2 linked regions of the Oreochromis niloticus genome follow. The protein of the gene in region 1 purifies or fractionates together with the protein of each later gene. This does not show direct contact. Links are inferred from orthologs where the notes say so. Each region holds a gene or a part of one and is shown in the gene's direction. Other genes may lie near its edges.

What was found. The genes of interacting proteins can lie anywhere in the genome.
Region 2: the proteins of polr2h (region 1) and polr3e purify together in Homo sapiens (affinity purification with mass spectrometry; 3 studies listed by BioGRID and IntAct, with this or other methods). This does not show direct contact. The link is inferred for Oreochromis niloticus from reciprocal best matches to the Homo sapiens genes POLR2H and POLR3E.

What each region holds. Positions count from the first base shown.
Region 1 is NC_031980.2:34,412,446-34,422,705, forward strand, and holds polr2h (DNA-directed RNA polymerases I, II, and III subunit RPABC3), read left to right. Parts: upstream 1-6,467; 5' UTR 6,468-6,501; coding exon of another isoform or gene 6,502-6,576; exon of another isoform or gene 6,577-6,665; intron 6,666-6,924; exon of another isoform or gene 6,925-7,165; intron 7,166-7,424; exon of another isoform or gene 7,425-7,628; intron 7,629-8,050; 5' UTR 8,051-8,070; coding exon 8,071-8,143; intron 8,144-8,567; coding exon 8,568-8,651; intron 8,652-9,113; coding exon 9,114-9,207; intron 9,208-9,369; coding exon 9,370-9,453; intron 9,454-9,675; coding exon 9,676-9,793; 3' UTR 9,794-10,047; downstream 10,048-10,260. Other genes in the region: lisH domain-containing protein ARMC9, read right to left, coding at 1,761-1,796, 2,500-2,598, 2,916-3,073, 3,638-3,662, 5,069-5,161, 5,277-5,432, 5,800-5,970, 6,180-6,305 and 1 more. UniProt on the Homo sapiens protein: DNA-dependent RNA polymerase catalyzes the transcription of DNA into RNA using the four ribonucleoside triphosphates as substrates.
Region 2 is NC_031973.2:9,905,204-9,915,331, forward strand, and holds the start of polr3e (DNA-directed RNA polymerase III subunit RPC5), read left to right. Parts: upstream 1-6,058; 5' UTR 6,059-6,287; intron 6,288-7,015; 5' UTR 7,016-7,081; coding exon 7,082-7,120; intron 7,121-8,443; coding exon 8,444-8,494; intron 8,495-8,652; coding exon 8,653-8,730; intron 8,731-8,974; coding exon 8,975-9,090; intron 9,091-9,173; coding exon 9,174-9,256; intron 9,257-9,399; coding exon 9,400-9,507; intron 9,508-10,075; coding exon 10,076-10,125; intron 10,126-10,128. Other genes in the region: eef2k (eukaryotic elongation factor 2 kinase), read left to right, coding at 348-552, 1,321-1,379, 1,614-1,691, 1,901-1,957, 2,170-2,235, 2,743-2,874, 3,102-3,290, 3,430-3,554 and 2 more. UniProt on the Homo sapiens protein: DNA-dependent RNA polymerase catalyzes the transcription of DNA into RNA using the four ribonucleoside triphosphates as substrates.

The sequences.
Region 1 (10,260 bases):
ACAAGACACACAAGCTGAAACGTCAAGACTGGGCCAAGAAATATCTCAAGACTGATTTTTCTAAGGTTTTATGGACTGATGAAATGAGAGTGAGTCTTGATGGGCCAGATGGATGGGCCCGTGGCTGGATTGGTAAAGGGCAGAGAGCTCCAGTCCGACTCAGACGCCAGCAAGGTGGAGGTGGAGTACTGGTTTGGGCTGGTATCATCAAAGATGAGCTTGTGGGGCCTTTTCGGGTTGAGGATGGAGTCAAGCTCAACTCCCAGTCCTACTGCCAGTTTCTGGAAGATGCCTTCTTCAAGCAGTGGTACAGGAAGAAGTCTGCATCCTTCAAGAAAAACATGATTTTCATGCAGGACAATGCTCCATCACACGCGTCCAAGTACTCCACAGCGTGGCTGGCAAGAAAGGGTATAAAAGAAGAAAAACTAATGACATGGCCTCCTTGTTCACCTGATCTGAACCCCATTGAGAACCTGTGGTCCATCATCAAATGTGAGATTTACAAGGAGGGAAAACAGTACACCTCTCTGAACAGTGTCTGGGAGGCTGTGGTTGCTGCTGCACACAATGTTGATGGTGAACAGATCAAAACACTGACAGAATCCATGGATGGCAGGCTTTTGAGTGTCCTTGCAAAGAAAGGTGGCTATATTGGTCGCTGATTTGTTTTTGTTTTGTTTTTGAATGTCAGAAATGTATATTTGTGAATGTGGAGATGTTATATTGGTTTCACTGGTAAAAATAAATAATTGAAATGGGTATATATTTGTTTTTTGTTAAGTTGCCTAATAATTATGCACAGTAATAGTCACCTGCACACACAGATATCCCCCTAAAATAGCTAAAACTAAAAACTACTTCCAAAAACATTCAGCTTTGATATTAATGAGTTTTTTGGGTTCATTGAGAACATGGTTGTTGTTCAATAATAAAATTATTCCTCAAAAATACAACTTGCCTAATAATTCTGCACTCCCTGTACATTAAACTAGCAAGCCTAAACGAGAAAAAAAATACTATCCTCAAAAATACTTTATGAAGCTAAGCAGGTATGTTGACATGCTTAAACCACTACATAACACTGGTTTAAAGTAAAGTTTACTGCTCATTTTTTAATGTTTAACTATACCTAAAAACAACAAATATGATATGTTGACCCTGAGTGCCTGTTTTTAAGGTTGTTAAGAATCCTACATGAAGTGTTCTTGTTGTTTCCTTTCAAACAGCTGTAATATAACCTGTCCTATTTGAGAACCTGAGCGTGCGAGTAATCCTTTTAAATCAAAGCACCCTGTGATGGCCATTCTTGTTCTGTCATTTTATATGGCTATAATCTAAAAAACAAACAAAACAAAAATAACAATAAGCATAAGAGAAGAAAAATGAACCTGAGAGATAAGTTGAGAGCTAAAAGCTCTAAGGAGAGTTGAGAGGAGGAACAATAACTGTCATCTTTTGGGAGCGAGTGAATGTCATGATTACGTATGCCCTGAGAGACGTTTGTGTTTGCCATAACAAGCGGTCTGACAAAAGGTGTCATCCTTACTGCTAATAAAGCCAAACATACTTTTAAACTGGGACAATCTAGTGGGAGTGCACATGTAGTCAGGAGGGTGAGATGAAGAAATATGTTAGGAGGTCATGAAGGACATACAGACAATAACAGGAGGAAAAGGGAGACACCAAGGCAGAAGCTAGATGAGAACTGGGGACCTGAGCAATAAGAAAATGTAAAGATGAAAATATATGAAACTTACATAGCCATCATCATAGGGACTCATAGAGTAATATCCCTTTGGGGACAAAAGCATCACACAAGCAAAAAAACAAAACAACAACAACACACACAAAACACAGAAAAAATGTTGTTCAGTTCAAATAGAAAGAAACAAGATTTCACAAGCCAGAGGTCAACACCACAATGAAGGCCGCTGACAGCAAGCATGATTGTCAAGCTGTGGACAGTTTTTTAGGTCAGTTGGGAACTTTTCTACAACGTTTTGATTATCGGTGGCACAAAAGAGGCAGAAAAAGAGGCTGAATAACAGTTTTAATGTAACAGTTAAGTTTTAATGTAACTCTGACTCATCTGGACACCTTTAACTGTCGTCTTTATGGGAGAAACATAGTTACATTTCCAAGGCAGATGATTACGTAAATGTCTGTGACTGGTTATTAGAAATTTGCGTCATGTACATTTGACTTTACAACAATGAGTGTATTTATTCAACTCCAGGATCCAGGAACCACTCACTCTAGGATGCACACAACAGAATGACTACACAGCTTACACAAAAAGAACAAAGATGTCTTTTTGTACATAATGCAAACACTCCTTAAGTGCACTTTTCCCTGATTGTGGCTCTTATCTCTTCACCGTCTGCTATGCATATTCTATGCTTTATTGAAATCACATTAAGTTGGGGCCAGGTGTTGCTGTTACTATTCTGAGCATGAAGAAGAGGGAAGGAGTGAAGACTGCGTGCTGCGACTCACAGTGCCTGGCCTGGTGAAGTCCGTGCTCTGCACCACACTCTGTCTCATCTGGCTGCTGAACAGGCGAACACACATACTCTGCAGGTACTCGGGGGAGATCTGAAAAAACAAGGCACACTCCCCTGAGCTTTAAAATACTGTTCGTGTGAGAAGAGCAGGGTACTAATAGTGTATTCCTGTTTTCCAAATATTAAAATCTTTTCACATATATTTTTCATCCATTTTGTGCATCAAAAGATTTTCTTGTTGGCGCTCGCATGAACACCGCTGGACTTTGCATACGCAAAATTTGTGGGTTTTTTCTGTGCGCACGCATTCTTTTCTAACATTCTTTTCGTGCCACACTTATGTACTCCGTACTTGTTGCACGTCTGACAGAATGTGTGCTTGTTTGTCCCACAGTTAGCCTGCCTTACCATCTTTCCGCTGGCGGTGGCCTCCAATGAGTCGACCAACTCAGCAGTGATTCCAATCAGGTTGTGGTAGTCAGCTTGCATCTTGTTGAACTTCCGTACGTAGCTGGTGATGCGGCGATCCGATTCAGCCAGCTGGAGCTGTAACTGCTGTGTGGCCTCTGTGCATTCACCAAACAAACAAACAGAAAAAGACAGAGACTGCTGAAACCAACACTGGCTTACAACCATTAGGTGAAAATGCCTGTTATCCTTTGAGATCTCAAGAGCCTCATTTAAAAATTAAACAATATTCTGAAATGCAATTTTTAATCAACCTCTCCAACACCAATCTCAGCATTGACTTTTCTACTAACATTTATCAATACTTAACATAATGTCTTTTGTCTATTAGTGAGAGCACTGTGAGTGTTATTACGTAAATAATACTTTCCACGTTAGACAAATGAATCAAACCAAAACCTAGGCAAACAGATGTATAATCGGTGACGCTGATATGACTTCTTTATCTGTAGTATTACTGTAGTTACTTCTGATTAATGAGCAGGTGTGGCCTTGAGCCTTTGTTCCATTTGAGATTATGAAAAGTTGAAAGAAAGCCAAAAACTATATCACATATTCGGGGGAAAAATGAATATCTGGCACTAAGAAACAGCTGTTGGGGTAGGGGTGAAGAACTGCAAACTGAATGCACAAAAAGGTAGACTCTGTGATGGGGTAATTACCTTTAGTACTCCTTCCACTCTCCTTCTGCATGAAGCTGGTTAAAGATCACATACTTAGAGACAAATCAAACATTTCTCCTGTATTTATTCCCTTGTTAATTGTTTTATCCAGAATTACACACAAATGAAATAATTAGTAACAGGACTGCAGATGGAACTAGTAAATATCTGAAGCCTCAATTATGCTTTCTGTGTCCGCTTGAGTCCAAGTGACGCAAATTTCATCATGAGATGCTGAGCGTGGTCCATGCGGACATCTGTTTTCCTGAAAGCAGCACAGACTTTACATTACAATGTACCAGATGTGCATGCACCCCAGGCGGCGGACGACAAACAAGGACAACTGGTTGTGTTCCTGTTTTCACTTAAGTACCCTATAAATGTCATGTAAGCACATGTAAATGTTGTTAATTGGCTGAGCCAAAAAACGCTGATGCTCAAGTGTTCCCACTTTTGGTAACCTTGTTAATTTTGTATACACTAGAAACATTTTTTTCAGCCCTTAGCATTTCATTTTACAAAGCTCTGAAAGTTGGCCAGTTTAGTTTCACAAACATGTACTGAGCAAAGTCCATGTGGTGGGTTTCCAGTATCCCAATAATTCCATTACCTTTGCCTGCCCTTCTACTCTGAGGAGGTTAGGATAACTTTGTTTCTTTCGGTGCATTAGCTGACTTGACAAAATCTAAAACCCCGGTTGGGGTTGTCACGACGATTGTTATCAACTTTCTCTTTTAGGCCAGGTTTTGTGTTTCAGATTGTGTGTGTGTTCTCCAAAAAAGTGCACAGTTTGAATTACTGTAACTTTACAGTAAGTAGTAAGTAAGTAAAAATGTGGCAGTTCCAGATTATTTTAAATCAAAACTGACTTTTAGTTCAACATAACTCACTAACCAATCAATCTCTCTTTGTGGTCCACCTCTCAGGTTGTCACATGATCAAACATGTTACAAGAGACTGGTTGTTAAAGAATTCCTTATTCACCTACAGAACATATTTTTACTCTACATTTAAATGTGCAGTCCAGCTAAAGAAGGCAAGTTTTTTGCTCCTCGTGGGTTTATGTTCTACACATCATATATTCCCTCAATGAAATTGCTAGATTTTTACTATTTGCTAAGTTTTATAACCTTCATTGAAGGCTGTAAAAACTACCTAACCTAATAATCTGCTTATGTAAAAAGCTGGAATTGAGAATTTAATTGACAAAAGTTACATTTTACTTGACAACCGTTTACCTGTCACGTGGGTTTGTGCAATGAATGAAAATAATAATTTTGTGACTATTAGTTTGAGATGCCATCCTGTTAGATATATCGCTAATGCCATCTCACTGAAATCAAAACAAGACAGACACAAATCCATTTGTACATCTGTACTCTGATGGTTTTCCCAGCAATGGCTCATTAGTGAGGCACAGTAGAAGGATACATATAAAGTCATCAGCCTTGGGCTGTTAGATGGCTTAAGTATCACTGACAGGAACTGCTCCAGCTTATCTCTCAATTTTGGCATCCAGGAATCCTAAAACCATAAAACACAAGCTAAATATGAAATATGATGATGTTCATTCTCACAGTGTGACTTAGTAACTGTACTAGATGGTAAAAAGCAAGGTAATATTCTATAAGTGTAATACCTGGAACAGTTCTTTGAAAGATGGGTGGACAGTTGGGTTGGGAACAAAAGGCAAAGCATAGTAAGGCAGAAACTCTGTGGTCTGGCTCAGAGCTTCTCCTCGAGTTTCCAGGTACTGCTTGAAGAAGGAAACCCTCTCTTCAAACTCAGCACGGTCCTTGAGGTAGATTTGAAATTTCCATCAAAAACAATTCATGAACAAAATTTTTAAAAAATAAATAACTAAATCAGGTAAGCTTAAGGGGTCACTTAAGAAGACGCAATACATCTTCAATTATGATTGCATGTTTTGCTAAAAGAAGCATAAGGTTTTTAAAAAAAAAATCTGTATAAATAAATGAACTCAAAATCCAATTGACTTCATGATGAAAGGTATTTCACACTGTAAGAGATCCACAAAACTGTTGCCGCAGAGGTGGGAAAATAAGACTCTGGCGCAGCTTAGTGGACATATGAAAAACAGCACATAATGACATAAGTATTAACATACACATACACATATAAATACACATGTAAATACATACATGTCCTACAGGGTGCCTCCTCAGTGGGTAGATTGTAAAGTGGATGTAAAGGTAGAACTCCAGTCCCTGGGCCTCAGCATCAGTGTCTTTAACTCTGGGGGGAATATTCTCTGTCCACAGTTCAAAGAACACCCTGTGGTCTCCATCATCAAATGAGCTTAGAAGGTCTTTCTACAAAAGTCACATTTTTTGTGGTTTATCGCACAGTAATAACTGAGTCATGATATGTACATGACTATTACAGACCGTTACAATTAATACAGATACATCAATTTGAAACTTGCTTTGAGGTTGCAATATTTACATGTTAATTACATTTTGTAGTCAAATAGTCTTTTCCACATTTTCCCATCACACCTCCACAAAAAATCAAAGTGTACCTGAATGACACGTGTCTTTGAGTCATTGAGAGTATTCCCTCGAGGCTTTGAGGCGAGTTTGCCTTTCCTTTTGCACTCCTTCTCAAAACTGTGAAGAGTCTCTTCAAATTCTTCAAATTTAAGGTACTACAAACAAAAGAAAAGAATACAAATAAACACACGTGACACACCACCTCAATCAGAGCAGAATGTAACTATGCTTTCAGTCATCTATGCATAGTTGTAGAAACGCTATATATAAAAGTTGTACATTTCGATTACTTCACTTCTATTAATGCTCACTGCGATTTGCATATGGCAATTTACAGAAAAAACGTCCTACCTCCTTAATCATCCCAAGAAGATCGGCTTCATTTGCCAAGATGTCCCCCATCTTGGCTGCCTCCCTGGAACTCATGTGAGTACCGAAAAGCTTCAAAATATCCGACAGCAAAGAGTCCAACTTTCATTCAATAACGTTTTCGCCCCGAGTTAGCATTTTGCGGTCTGTTTAAATTGGACAGCACAATCGTTTGAGCAACACACACACTCTCACACACACTCACACAGAAAAAACATCTACAGAGATACAACTGATTGGCAGTTTTACTTTAGAATCTAAAATTCAAGCACATTTGCATTAAAAGTGAATTATTTTCAGCACAGTAAGACATCAGACACAGCGTCAAGATGTCACAAGCTAGCTAATAAGCTAGCTCATCAATTAACGTTGTGTGACATAAAGAGAGCACATTAACATCATTACCTCGTTCGCATATCAGGTACTTGATGAATACATTTCATTGACCCTTCCGAGGCGCTCACGCGTAGAACCGTCCATTTTTGTGAGGATTTGTGGTCTTGAGTTGCAACTTAAGTTAGTTAGATAGCCATTCGCTAGCAACAGTACACAGACAGGACGCTAAAAAACACCTAGCAACCGAATAGACTGGAAAGTAGAGGCAAATGTCGTAAACAATGACGAAAGGATGCTATTTGGTTCTTAGGTATTCTTTGCAGATTATTGTTATTTTCTTTTCCTCTTTTTAACCTTATAACAATAATAAGGTATCTCATGAAAACCTTTACTTTTTAAACTAGCTGGAAAACCTATATTTTTTTCTAATATTAACGTAGAGAAAGAGCAGATAGGCAGGTATTTTTTTTAATTATGCGTTTTATTTTTTGTCTGTGGTTGAAAAAAATCGTCTATCTGTCTTTATCTAATTTTGTTATATATTTACATTTATATCTTTTCTTTCCGTATTTCAAACCGGAAGCACTTTGTATGTCAAAGGTTGAGCACATTGTTTCTGCGCGGTACAGTCTGTTTGGGATAATAATGAATGAAATTTTGATTAAATAAGACATTAGCGCAAAATTAAATACTCGCTGTCGCAGTCTGAAAACCCGAGTGAACGCGACGCCATTGTATTTACAGTATAATATCAAAACTTTATCGTATTTGAGGTAAGTCTTTGCAATCGTGTGGCCAATATGCTAAGGCTAACAATTAGCATGAATGAGAGACGCTAAAGTTAAAGCTTAACCAAGACCATAATACTTTGGCTAACTGATTCAGCAACAACAGGTATTAGATTACTGTTACATGTTACAAAAACAAATGCACGAAATATTAAGGCTTGAAAGGGTTTTTTTAAGTTGTGATACACAGTTGTCTCATTAATGGGTCATTGGAGGTTAGGATTTTTGAGATGTAGTTATGCACAGAGTACACAGAAAAAACAGTAAGCAAACTCAAGTTTCTGTAAATTTCAGTGAAGTGTGTTTGTTGTACTGGCAGGGTGGGTTGCAAGTCTTAGTAACGGTTTTAGTCTAATAAATGTGGCTTCATTTCGTGTTTTTGTCTTTATTTTTCCCTCTTTTTACAGGTTGACAGACTTGGAGAGAGATGGCTGGAATTCTTTTTGAGGATATTTTTGATGTAAAAGATATCGATCCAGATGGCAAGAAGTTTGACAGAGGTGTGTGAAGTATTATTATAAAAGAAAAATGTGAAATTATAACACCAACCAACAGATAATGGCTTGTTTTAAAAAATTCTAGTCTGTACTGCCCTACTAGTAATTTCAGACACAACGGACAGATTATTAGCCGTTGACCCACACTCTTTTAATGTAATATCATCTTGATATAGATAAAGTTTAATTTAGAACCCAAGTGCAGTTTTTTTTAGTGGAAATGTATTGTGGAAAGGGATCTGATAAATATTAAACCTTTCAAATACATGAACACAACTTCTGGCCAATCATGAGCCAGTCTAACTTTCATTATCAACAAGAGGCATTATTTTAGTTATTGTTGATCTTCTTTAATGTAATTTAATTTAAAAAAAACAAACAAACATATAAATTATCTAATAGAAACTCTGCAACTGTTATTCTACAGTATCTCGCCTCCATTGTGAAAGTGAATCGTTCAAGATGGACCTCATCTTGGATGTGAACATTCAGATCTATCCTGTTGATCTTGGTAAGAAAAAACCTTTTTTTGTCCCTGTGTGTCTTTGTGTTTCTTTTTTTTTTTAAATTGGAAGTCATTTGCTAGTTAATTTTTATCAAATACAATAGTGTAAACCGGCCCTATATACAGTATAATTATAGCAAATGACTATGTCAGCTTTTTGGAATATTTCATCAGAATAAACTGGGACTCTTTAAAAGTAAAGATTATACTGTAATACTTAAAAAAAAAAAATATGATTGCTTGTTAATGTATCCCCTGACTCCCTCAATATTTGACTTTTTCACTTGCAGGTGAGTTGTGTAATAGCTGTATATTAACATTTACTCAACCCAAAGGAACCCAGCTCTATAAGTAAACCTTTAGCGAAAGCCTTAAAGAACCATGTGTCAGAGTTGTATCTGTAACTCAAAGTGTCCAAATGCAAAATATGATAAAGCCTGTTTGTTATAATATACCTGTTTCATTAAGGTGACAAGTTTAGACTGGTGATTGCCAGCACGTTATATGAAGATGGAACACCAGACGATGGAGAGTACAATCCTCAGGATGACAGACCGTCTAGGTAAGACAACTGCTTCCAATTTAAAGTTTTAATTTGTGTAACTCTAGCAAAAAAATGCTGTTTTGTTGGCATTTTTAACAATAATAACATCGTTAGTACTTTATTACACCTATAATTTACAAAATGACTTTCACACTCATTCCACTTTGTTTAAATTTCCAGGGCAGACCAGTTTGATTATGTGATGTATGGGAAAGTTTACAAGATTGAGGGCGATGAAACTTCAACAGAAGCTGCCACACGTCTGTAAGTGAAGTGCTTAGTTTTCTGAAAATGACTATATGTCATGTATTTACTGAAATTCATAACCTGCTGGAACAAAACTGTGTTTCTAACAGAGAACATGACCTTTCTGTGAAACTATTTGTGGAAATGAGATACCTTTTGAATTTGCCTGTGTGATAACCTTTCCAAACTCTGCTGTTGGTTTGTGCTATTCCAATTTCTTGTGTGTTCTTCTTCTTTCAGCTCTGCTTATGTGTCTTATGGAGGCCTCCTCATGAGGCTACAGGGGGATGCCAACAATCTTCACGGCTTTGAAGTGGACTCCAGGGTCTACCTGCTCATGAAGAAGCTGGCCTTCTAAAACACACCTTTGGTCACCCACCCATGGTTCACCAGTCAACCTTAAAATTATACTGAACTGAGTACTGAAAACATGCATATTTTCAGGTCTGGAGAATCTACAAGGAAGCTGTTGGAAACTTTTATTTTGTTGATTTTCATTCCTCCATCAGGATGGACTAAAGACTAAACACTGTGGCACATAAGAACAGCTACCGACTCCACCTGCAGACAAACTGTAAATAAAGTTTTCTTTTATACACACTGGCATGTTTATTCTTAGGTTTATTTCCTTACATCGTAGCAGCTGCTCTCAAACAAACATTTAATTATCCTTGTACTCGACAAGAAGGGTGAGTCTAACATTATTACACAGGCATCATGTGTGCAGCTATAATTGGGATGGAAGATGGTTCTATAAAGAAACAGTGCTAATTGAATTAAGTAGCTCAGAGAACAGTGAACCTTCAGGTTTGTAATTACAGTTCC
Region 2 (10,128 bases), on another chromosome or scaffold:
TATTACCTGGAAACAACCATCAGTAGCAAATTGATGTGAGAGCGAATCACTTCCTGTGTGGACTGGGTCAGGTTTTTTGTTTTTCTTTCTTTTGGAAAGCCAAACTCACAAAAGCTTCCTCTTGCACTTGTCCTGCTGAGCTGCGTGGCTTCCTCATTGCTGCTTGCAGCTGTATCTCACTTTGTTCACAGTTTCCATATTTAGGCATGAACGTCTGCTGAAAGTTTATTTCCTGGTAGAAGATGTTGGTCTGCGGCTTAAAAGAGCAGAGAACAAAAAGAAAGAGAAATTCTGAGTTCTTCCTCTTTTAATTTTCATATTTCTTCCTTATTTTTTTTTCATTGTAGAAGTCAGCCCAGACTGTGCTGAGAGGCTCAGAGGAGCACTGCGGTTCTCCTCGTGTTCGCACCATGTCGGCCAGCCGGGCGCCTCCGCTCCTATCCCGCCTGTCTGAGACCTCGTCTGCAGATGAGAGCATGAGCGACATGGAATCTATCCCCTGCTCCCCTCTTATCCTTCCCTGCTCCCCCCCAACTGCAGCTGGCTCTGTAGGCAAGTTAGCAATCAATACATGCAAGACCAATTTACTACAATACCACGCAAAAATGTTACTGTATATAAAAGATGGACGTAGGTTAGTAACGTCCAGTCATGAAGCTCTTGGTATTTTAAAACGGGATGTAATGAGCGAGGAGTGAATCAAATGCATAAACCAAGGAAAACTATAAAACGCATCGTTCCTTATCACTCTATTTGATTCTAATTGGAACCACATGTTTTATTTGATTTATTAAATGAAGCTTAAAAGTAGTGATAGAGTCCTTAAACCCATCAGGAAAGTGTTTACTGAGATCACAAATCATGTGAGCAGAGACTTCTTTATAACTGGAAAGTTTTTTTACAACCAGAGGAGTCGCCCTTGCTGGCTAGTATAAAGAATGGCAGGATAAGGCAGTAGCCATGTCCATCTTTCATATACAGTCTATGTTGTGATTCATTCTCAGATTTGGTATTTTCCCATTTTCTCGCTATTTTGAATGAATAGAAGCATTCACACAGACAGCTACATGTAAATGAAGTGCACTAAGAGTACTTGGTGCAAAACAAGAGGAACCAATAATCCATTTTAAGCAAGAAGGAGGATTTCAGCATTGACAGTACTCATGTTGAGTCGATTACTGTAGACATTTATGTTGTTGTATGTTACTGGAAATTTGCTAACTATAAGGTATCTAGATTGAGATACATGAGTATTCAGACATCACTTACATGCTGAGGAGCTAAAATGGTGTGGTTTTGCATATTATTTCCATTTTACAGGCTCGTCTTTTACCGGAATGTATGAACACGACAGAATGAGCAACACAAGCGAACACAGGGTAAGTAAAAACTGACGGTGAGAGTGGCTCTAAACAGCACAGACAATTAAAGAAAACACATTTAAAAAACACAGAGCACTGCATCATCGCACCCCCAACCCCAAGCTTCACATTGATTAACAGCATTACTTATATTATTTAAAACATTATTGAAAACTATATCTGTGTATCTGACTTGTTGACAGAGGTTTACCACCAGGAATCAGAATTTCTTGTCTTAATTTTTGTCTTTAGGAATCAGAAAACGGCGGGGACAGCGGCTACCCGAGCGAGAGGAGGAGTGAAGGAGACCCAAATGACCACATAGACGGGGTAAAGATTTTTGTCTTTGTTCAACAGGAATGGAAAGAGGAAGCTTTTAGTTAAATAAATGTATTTTTCCTGTGATCTAAATCCCGTTTTTGGATCCAGTTTGTGAACGTCCTCTTACAAGCTTCGACATGCCTCATTGATGCACTTATTCAACACTTGTTAGATTTCGTGACAGCTGGTTTTACAGTCCATGTCATATTGTCACATAGATCCATCATCGCTACAACAGGCAATATTCAGAGTCGGATGAGGAAAGTATCAGACGGGTAAAGAAACATAAATATCCCTAAATCCCTTCCTCTCCTCGTTCTTAATCATCATCATCATCATCATCACCACTGTAATCAAATAACACTACTTTAATTTCCCTTTTAACATCATCTTTACTTTTGTTTTCCCATCACTTATTTAACCATGAAAGCCCCTCCTCACCTCTCCTCTAATTCCACTCCTCCTACTCTTTGTTTCCTCTCACTAGAGGAAGATGGTAGCTCCTCCAAGAGTCTCTGCAAACTTAAATTTAAACACTCCTGACAACGAATGGGTGATTATTTGCATGGAAGCTCCTGAGCCAGGTGTTTCCCTGTGCAGCGCTTTGCAGTCTTTTTTTTGGCCGTGAAGCATAATCCTTGCCTCCAGCATGATGGCTCTGCTTTTCAAACGGTTCCGATTTGTGTGGATTGAACTCACTGTCGCTATTTTCCTGTTGACGCCTGCTTTATTTATTCAGTGAACGAAAACGATCAGAAAATACAGAATAACTGGAGATAAAAAGTGATACTTGGAACTGAAACACCATCGACCTCCTTTACCTTCGCCTGCTCTGCCATCCCGCTTATTTTCACCTCTGTAACTGTGTGTGTCTGTGTGTGCGCTCCTTTTGCATTAACAGGGGTGTACTCCTCCAGCTCTGAGCTCAAAGCAGACTTTCCTGGACGGGTACACCTCTGAGACTGCAGTGTGACTTTTCAACCATAATATATTTCATGCAATGAATATCAGATGGTAACTTTTTTTCTGTCTTGGATCTTTGGCGCCTGTTTCTGTTCAGTTGACAGAGGAGAAGTGGACCTTCTATCACTCATCCCGCGCTCACGTCCACCGACCTTCCTGTGTGGCCACCGAGGTGGAACGACTCAACAACCTGCTGCAGAAGAAGATCGGCCAGTCGATTCTTGGAAAAGTAAGAGGAGGAAACATTAGTTAATTTAATGTTTCCGTGCCGCTATTTAACTCTGGTCCCATCAACACTAAAAACACTTACATTGTTACCATTTTTGATATATTTCTTTGATTCCAGCAATAAAAGGCAAAGCATTCTGTTCAGTCCAAACTCCTCCTATAGCAAATCAAACACAATGAGGCAGCTCGACATGCTTCACGCGCTTATATTCTGGATCTCCCACCCAGGTCCACCTGGCGATGGTGCGGTACCACGAAGCAGGTCGTTTCTGCGAGAAGGACGAGCAGTGGGACCAGGAGTCGGCCATGTACCACCTGGAGAGAGCCGCCATGTGTGGAGAGCTGGAGGCCATCGTAGCCTTGGGACAGTGCCTTCTGCAGCTACCTCATCATATACTCCCAGACATGGAGCTGGAGGTACTGTGCGCCATCTATTTTCCTTTCTACTGTTCAGCTTAACTTCACAAGTGTGGCTTTATATTCTGATGTGTGTGTGTGTGTGTGTGTGTGTGTGTGTGTGTGTGTGTGTGTGTGTGTGTGCGTGTGTTGTTGGCAGGATAATGCAGGAAACAATATGAGAGGTTTCAAGTATCTGCTGCAGGCTGCTGAGGCTGGCGACAGATCTTCTATGATCATAGTGGCCAGAGCCTTTGATACTGGAGTCAATCTGTCTGCTGACAGGTGAGTGAAGGTTCATTCAAAGCAGATGTTTCAGGTGAGACATAGGAATCCTGCTCCAAGGGGATGACTTTACTCGATAGTACTGCCCTCTTGTGGCCGGTTGGATTTTTACAGTTTCTTTTTTTTTAATTGGTGGTGATTTGTGAGTTAAAGCATTTTATCCTCTTGCCTTCACAGAAAGCAGGACTGGGCCGAAGCGGTTCACTGGTACAACAGTGCGCTGAACATGATGGACTACGACGAGGGAGGAGAGTTCGATGGGACCCAGGACGAGCCTCGCCACCTTCTGCTGGCCAGAGAGGCAGAGATGTACCAGGAGGGAGGCCACAACCTCGCTGCAGACCCACAGAGAGCAGGTTCAACCCGAGTGCAGAATTTTAACTTCAAGAAATCCTGCACCAGTTTCTGTCTGACCGTTGTTTTCCCAGTGAAGCAGTAGGGCTTGTGATTTTGATCTGTGGCACGGAGAAGCTTTAGTCTCACATGATGGTCGTGGGGTTGGTGTTCATTTCTGTTTGGTGGAGCGACTGCCTGTAACATCTCATGCTGTCTCTCTCCTGCAGGTGACCTTTTTACTGAAGCTGCAGAAGCTGCCATGGCGGCCATGAAGGGTCGACTGGCTAACCAGTACTACATGAAAGCCGAAGAAGCCTGGGCACAAATGGAGGAGTAACTCCACGACATAAAAGAAATTAATTTTAACCTCCAAAAAGGCCACGAGACTTGATGTGTGGCTGTTTTTCTTTTTCTTTTTTCTTTTCTTTTTTTAACACATTCTGGGTAAAACCTGAATGACTTCAGTTTACATTACTGTTTTTATGACAGATTTTTTTTGCTGTTGGTGGTTTGTTTGTGTGTGCGTTTGATGTGTGTTGAGCCATTCAGCATCAGACTTATCTTCAGAATTCTTTCTGTATGGTTGTAAAGCTAGATTTCCTGGCTCCTCATTTCTTTCATTTCATGTCTATATTAACCTTTAGTTAAGTTAAGTTAATGTGATTCTACGAATGAAAAGGTCTGACCTATCAAAAAAGATTTACTTATTTTGACCCAGATGTTAACATGTTTATGTTTAAGAGAATATATGTGATAAAGAAAAGTGCTTGGAATATGAAACTGTAAAATAAAAGTTTGCCTTTCTTTTTACCAATCATGATCCTGTTGTGATTTTTTTCTAACTAGTGGAAGGACTCTTGTAACCTAAAATTAGGGTGTATTGTATCATAACAGAAACAATTTACCTTAGTTTTTTGCACCATTAACTAAAATAAGTTAATTTGCAGTCAGTTTGGTTACGGGACAAAAGAAAACAGTGAAATGCTTCAACTCACTAGTCTTGGTTTTCTTTGCACTTTTCTCTGATCCCAGAGCTCAGAGGTATGTCACCACTTTGCCAAGTCCTGGAAGAAGACCCACATTATTATCCTCAGATGAGAGGAAAATTGGTCGGTGTAGTCGGGAACCACCAGATTTAAAGCTTGCCATGAACTCCAAACTGCTGCAGTGCAGGTTTTACATCATGAACTGAGAGGAAGAAAGAAGCCCCCAAAATCAGCTTGATAGAATTTTGCAGTGTCCCACATGGGCAAGCCAAATCCCTTATTGAAAGAAATTTGATGGTCAACTAAGAAAAAGATCGAGCTGCAGTATGTCATTAATTGACCACAATGGCAAGAGGCATGTTTTCAGAATAAACATGAGGTTTTCAAACAGATGACGTACAAACTGTCAAGCATGTTTGAGGTAGCATCATGCTCTGGGGTATACTGCACAAAGTGGATGAAATAATGAATAATTACTTTAGATTCAGTTCAAATTAACAACTAAACTCGGACACAACTGGATGTTCCAGCAGAAAAATGATCCAAAACACACATTAAAACTGACTTTACGCTTTTGGAAAAGCCTTCCCAAAAGCCCCAACCTCAACCCCGATGAAAATTTCTACGTTTTTACACTATTTTTGTTGTATTAACAGCAGATCCACTCACACTAGGAAGCTGAAGAAGCTGATTAGGAAGGCTGACTCTGTGCTGCAGACGTGATTTGAAGTTAAAGTCTGTAACGACTCCTCTCTGTCTATTGAGGACACGTTTATCCTCTTATTTGCTGCTGCAGTCTCAAAAAAAGAACTCAATAGAAGTGCAATAATTGAAACTTTCTATTTTTAATTGCCCAGGAGACTTCAGGGTATATTTTGCATGTCCTTGGATTTTATATTACATTATTTTTGTCTCAACTCCATTTAAAACGGGTACAACCCAAACTTTATAGTCAGGGGGCTTCATATTCGCTATTAGCCTCTGTTTCGATACGTCGTATCACAACGGTAGCGTGGCCGAGCGGTCTAAGGCGCTGGATTAAGGCTCCAGTCTCTTCGGGGGCGTGGGTTCGAATCCCACCGCTGCCAGGATACATTTTTTTCCCGTTCTATTCACGAAACAATCTCATCTGAAAACTTAAATTGTCCACAAATAATACCTAGGGGTAGTTGGTAATGAATAAAAAAGCGTACAAAAATAATGACACAAGCGCATAGCGGACTCGCTGTGCATTATGGGCGCGGGCTCCTCCCCACGTGTCTGTGTGGAGCAGAGTCAACATGGTATCACATCGGCAGTAGACTACAGCTGTCTTGAGTTAAACTCCACTTCAGCAGCAGCTCTCTGCACCACGTTCCTGGGCTAGCTACACCCGGATGAGATAGCTAAAGCTGAACGGTGAAGTGTGCAGGTGAGGGAGGAATCTGCTATTCTTACATAAAGAACATTTAAAATCAGGCCCGCTGATTGAATCTGTGTTATTTTAACTAAGCACGCCATGCTAAGCTAGCTCACGCTAGGCTACATTTGCTAGCTACCGCCTTGGTAGCTAATGTCGTTGCTTGTACTTTTGTTTACAGGAAACAGATCTTCAACTTAGTGCTGTGTATCCTATCTTCTTTATATTGGTGTTGGTTTTTACATAGGAATAAAAAAATCACCCGCTGTGTTGTGTAGGCCTGTGATAAATGCTCACAGGGTTTGCTGCTAATGGAGCTAACTTAACCATAAACACTCTATATAGTCAGCCAGTAAATTGGCGTCATACGGTTTTTTTATTAGCTTGACACAGTGTTTGATAGGGTTATGTTTCTACGAGGAGGAGTCTTTTACTGCTGTGTTGCATCATGTGGATTTTACCTGTGTGTCCGTGAAAGCATCACATGACAGGTTACCATAGGAAGTTGACTACTTTAGCGTCTTATGGTTTACTTGTTGGGTTAATTGAATAGTATCGGCTATTACCAATACTGACACCTCCTGACTGAACTGTGATGTAACTGTAATGTGCCGGATCACTAAGTTCCTGTCATCTAGTGCCTCTGTTGCCAGTCTGGGTGTAGCCACTCCATAACAGTAACAGGAATGTGCAGCCGGACGTTTAGCTCCTGTAACCCAGTTTGTCTTTTATTTTTCCAGGTTCCACCCCCTTCCCCTCTCCCCCAAGATTTGCCCCTCTCACCTTCTTGCTCTGATCACATCAACATGGCCAGCGGTGATGATGATGACCCCATTATAGAGGAGGTATGTTTACAGGCTTAAGTGAAAGGATATTATACGTCTCACTGACCTAATCAAGTATGATACAGCATTTTCTCTGCCCTGTGCACCTTTTATTGCTGTTCTGTGTTTATCAGTGTGAACACAGCCTCACGGGCAGTAAACAATTCCCAGGTGTTTCCCATGCATAGTCTCTGTTAGGTGTATTAACAGGTAATAAAATCACCTGGCAGCAAATATCAGCATTTATACTCATGGTTGTAGTGAGAAGTTTACATACAGTCGTCATCGGCATGACTGTCGTGGCAATTTTTGGCTTTTAATTATTTCTTTGAAGTGATCATTTTCCAGGGTGGAATGATTGTACAGCATACATATTTAATTACTTTAAATATGTACTTTAGTAATTGGTGCTGAAGGTTCTGCAGTGCCTTTTCACTTGACAGGGACAAGGTTCATTAACTTCTCATTAGTGATCATGGCTTGACTACTTCTGGCAGCTGATTTGTCAGCACAAAAAGGATTTGTTTGAGCTAAGTGGAGACAGCTGATTTTAATAATCTATTATTTACTTGGTGGCACGGTGGTTAGCTATGAGGCACTCCTGCCTCTCAGCAACAAGGTCATGGGTTCGAATTTAGTATCTTACTGTGGTTTTTGCATGTTCTCTTAGAGTACTCGACCCTCAGCCCAAAGACATGCCCGGACTCTGTCTACATAAACACACCACAAAGAGATTACAGGCGTTACATTAAATTATGCAGATTAACTGCTAACTAAGTCTGATACGATGTTTAAATCAGGCAACTTGCTAAAGACAACTTTCATACTTTGTCTTGCAGTGATACCTGCAGCATGCAGAGGGGAATCTAAAGAGGGCATGGGGTGTACTGAGCCATATTTATTTAAGGGCTCTCCTAACAAAAATTTTTAGAATCAAGGAAAAAAGATTGCATTAATTAAATTTTATGAATATTTAAAATATAAAAATAAAAGCTTTTTTATAACATACAATGGCCAGGAAAACTCTGAGCCAATGACCTGTGGCTGTTTGGTTGGACACTGAATTATAATTAACACAAATTATTAACATCTACATCACCATAAAGTCAGCACAAACACTTTGGATCAATGCAAACTGAATTACTTAAATATTCAAATGCTGCAGCCCTACTTGTCTGTCTCTCTGTGTTAGCCCTGCGACAGACTGGCGACCTGTCCAGGGTGTACCCAACCTCTCACCCTGCTATGACCCTGAGTTGGGGAACTTTGGAGGAAAGTCTGGTTTGGCTGTTGGCTCCTTACGTCAGCCTGTTTGACTTTGATCTACGTTTGTGTTTTTTCTAGATCGACGTGTACCTCGCCAAAAGCCTTGCAGATAAGCTGTATCTTTTCCAGGTGAGCTTGTCCCTTTGTAGTACCCGTGCGCTGATGAGCACGACCTCACGAGCCCACGTGTGAGCAGTTTCTCTAACTTATCTGCACCGTCTGGGGTGGGATTGATGTGTAATGTTCAAAGAGTCACTAATTGAGTTCACCGCTTTCCCTTGATGCAGTACCCTGTGCGACCAGCCACCATGACCTATGATGATGTCACCCACTTGGCGGCTAAGATCAAACCCAAGCAGCAAAGGGTAACCAAAAACCTGATGTTGATGTATTTTGTGTTTTGTTGAAAATATGTTTCCGTTTCAGGGGAGATGTGTGAATAGGATAAATTTTTAAAGTATTGAATATCACCAATTTCTCAAGTTAATTGGTTACATCAGGTTAAATTATAAGATAAGATTTTTTGTATTGGAAGTTTTCAGAAATGTTGAAAGTCATTAAATCGGGTGTTTGTAGTTGTTGATCATTTATGTACGGCTCCTTATACAGGTGGAGCTGGAAATATCCATGGACACAGTGAGTCCAAACTACTGTCGCAGTAAAGGAGAGCAAATCGCCCTAAATGTGGACGGCACGGGTTATGACGAAACCAACACCTACTCTGCGTATGTCCGTTTATTTATAGACTCTTCTTTGATTCAGGTCCTGTTTCTGGTCTGACTGTTCATCCCCCCCCCCCCATTTCTAGTAAAATTATGGACAAGCAGACCTTCTCCTCCATCCAGGCCACCACCAACACCTCCAGATACGCAGCTGCTGTGTTTCGCAAAGGTCTGACCTGATTAACGTGTTCAGCAGCCTGTGCAGTTCATTGTGGCACCATGTTTGTGTTTTGGCTTTGTTTTTATCTGTTTAATCCTACTCCAATCAGAGTAGGATTTATGATCTGGTTGTTTTATTGATGGCGTTAACAGGTGAGCTTCACGTCACACCTCTGACTGGAATTCTTCAGATGAGGCCCAGCTTCTCTTACCTGGACAAGGCTGACAACAAAACCAGAGAGAGGGAGGCGGCCAATGAAGGTGTGCCTGCTTTTCCTGTTTTCCAGATTAAATTCTGAGATGGATTATTTAGTATACACAGTTTATCTTTTGTTTGAAAACTTTAATTGTTTACTCCTAGAAAACCTTGATCTTTCCTGAACTGAGTGATTTTTGTCATATTCCACACCTGCTTACAGAACAGACTGACTGTGAGTGAATCAGAAGTTAGTAAGGATAGTTTCTGCCTATGCAGCTAGCCTTGGGGAAAACCCCAGAAACTCTTCACTGAGGTTTTAAACTTTTCTATTAGGGTACAAGGGAGGTTGCCAAATGTCATCCTTACTGGAGTTAAGATTGTTTTAAAATCAGATTTTAGCTGTTCTTTACATTTTTCCGAGGGGCAGTTATATGAAACTGCGACTGTTGTGGAGGTCGACACCAATAAGCCCTCCACAACAGTCCCAGTTTTTTAATATTTGCCCTTTGGAGAAATTAATTGCCCATCCCCGCTTTAAAGTATTTTACGTTTATTTTTAGATGTTTCTTCAAACATCATGGTAGGAGCAGGTATGATTACAGTTATTTGACCAGAGTCTTGTGTGTACAGGTGGAGACTCCTCCCAGGATGAAGCTGAGGAGGAAGCCAAGGCTATTACGGTA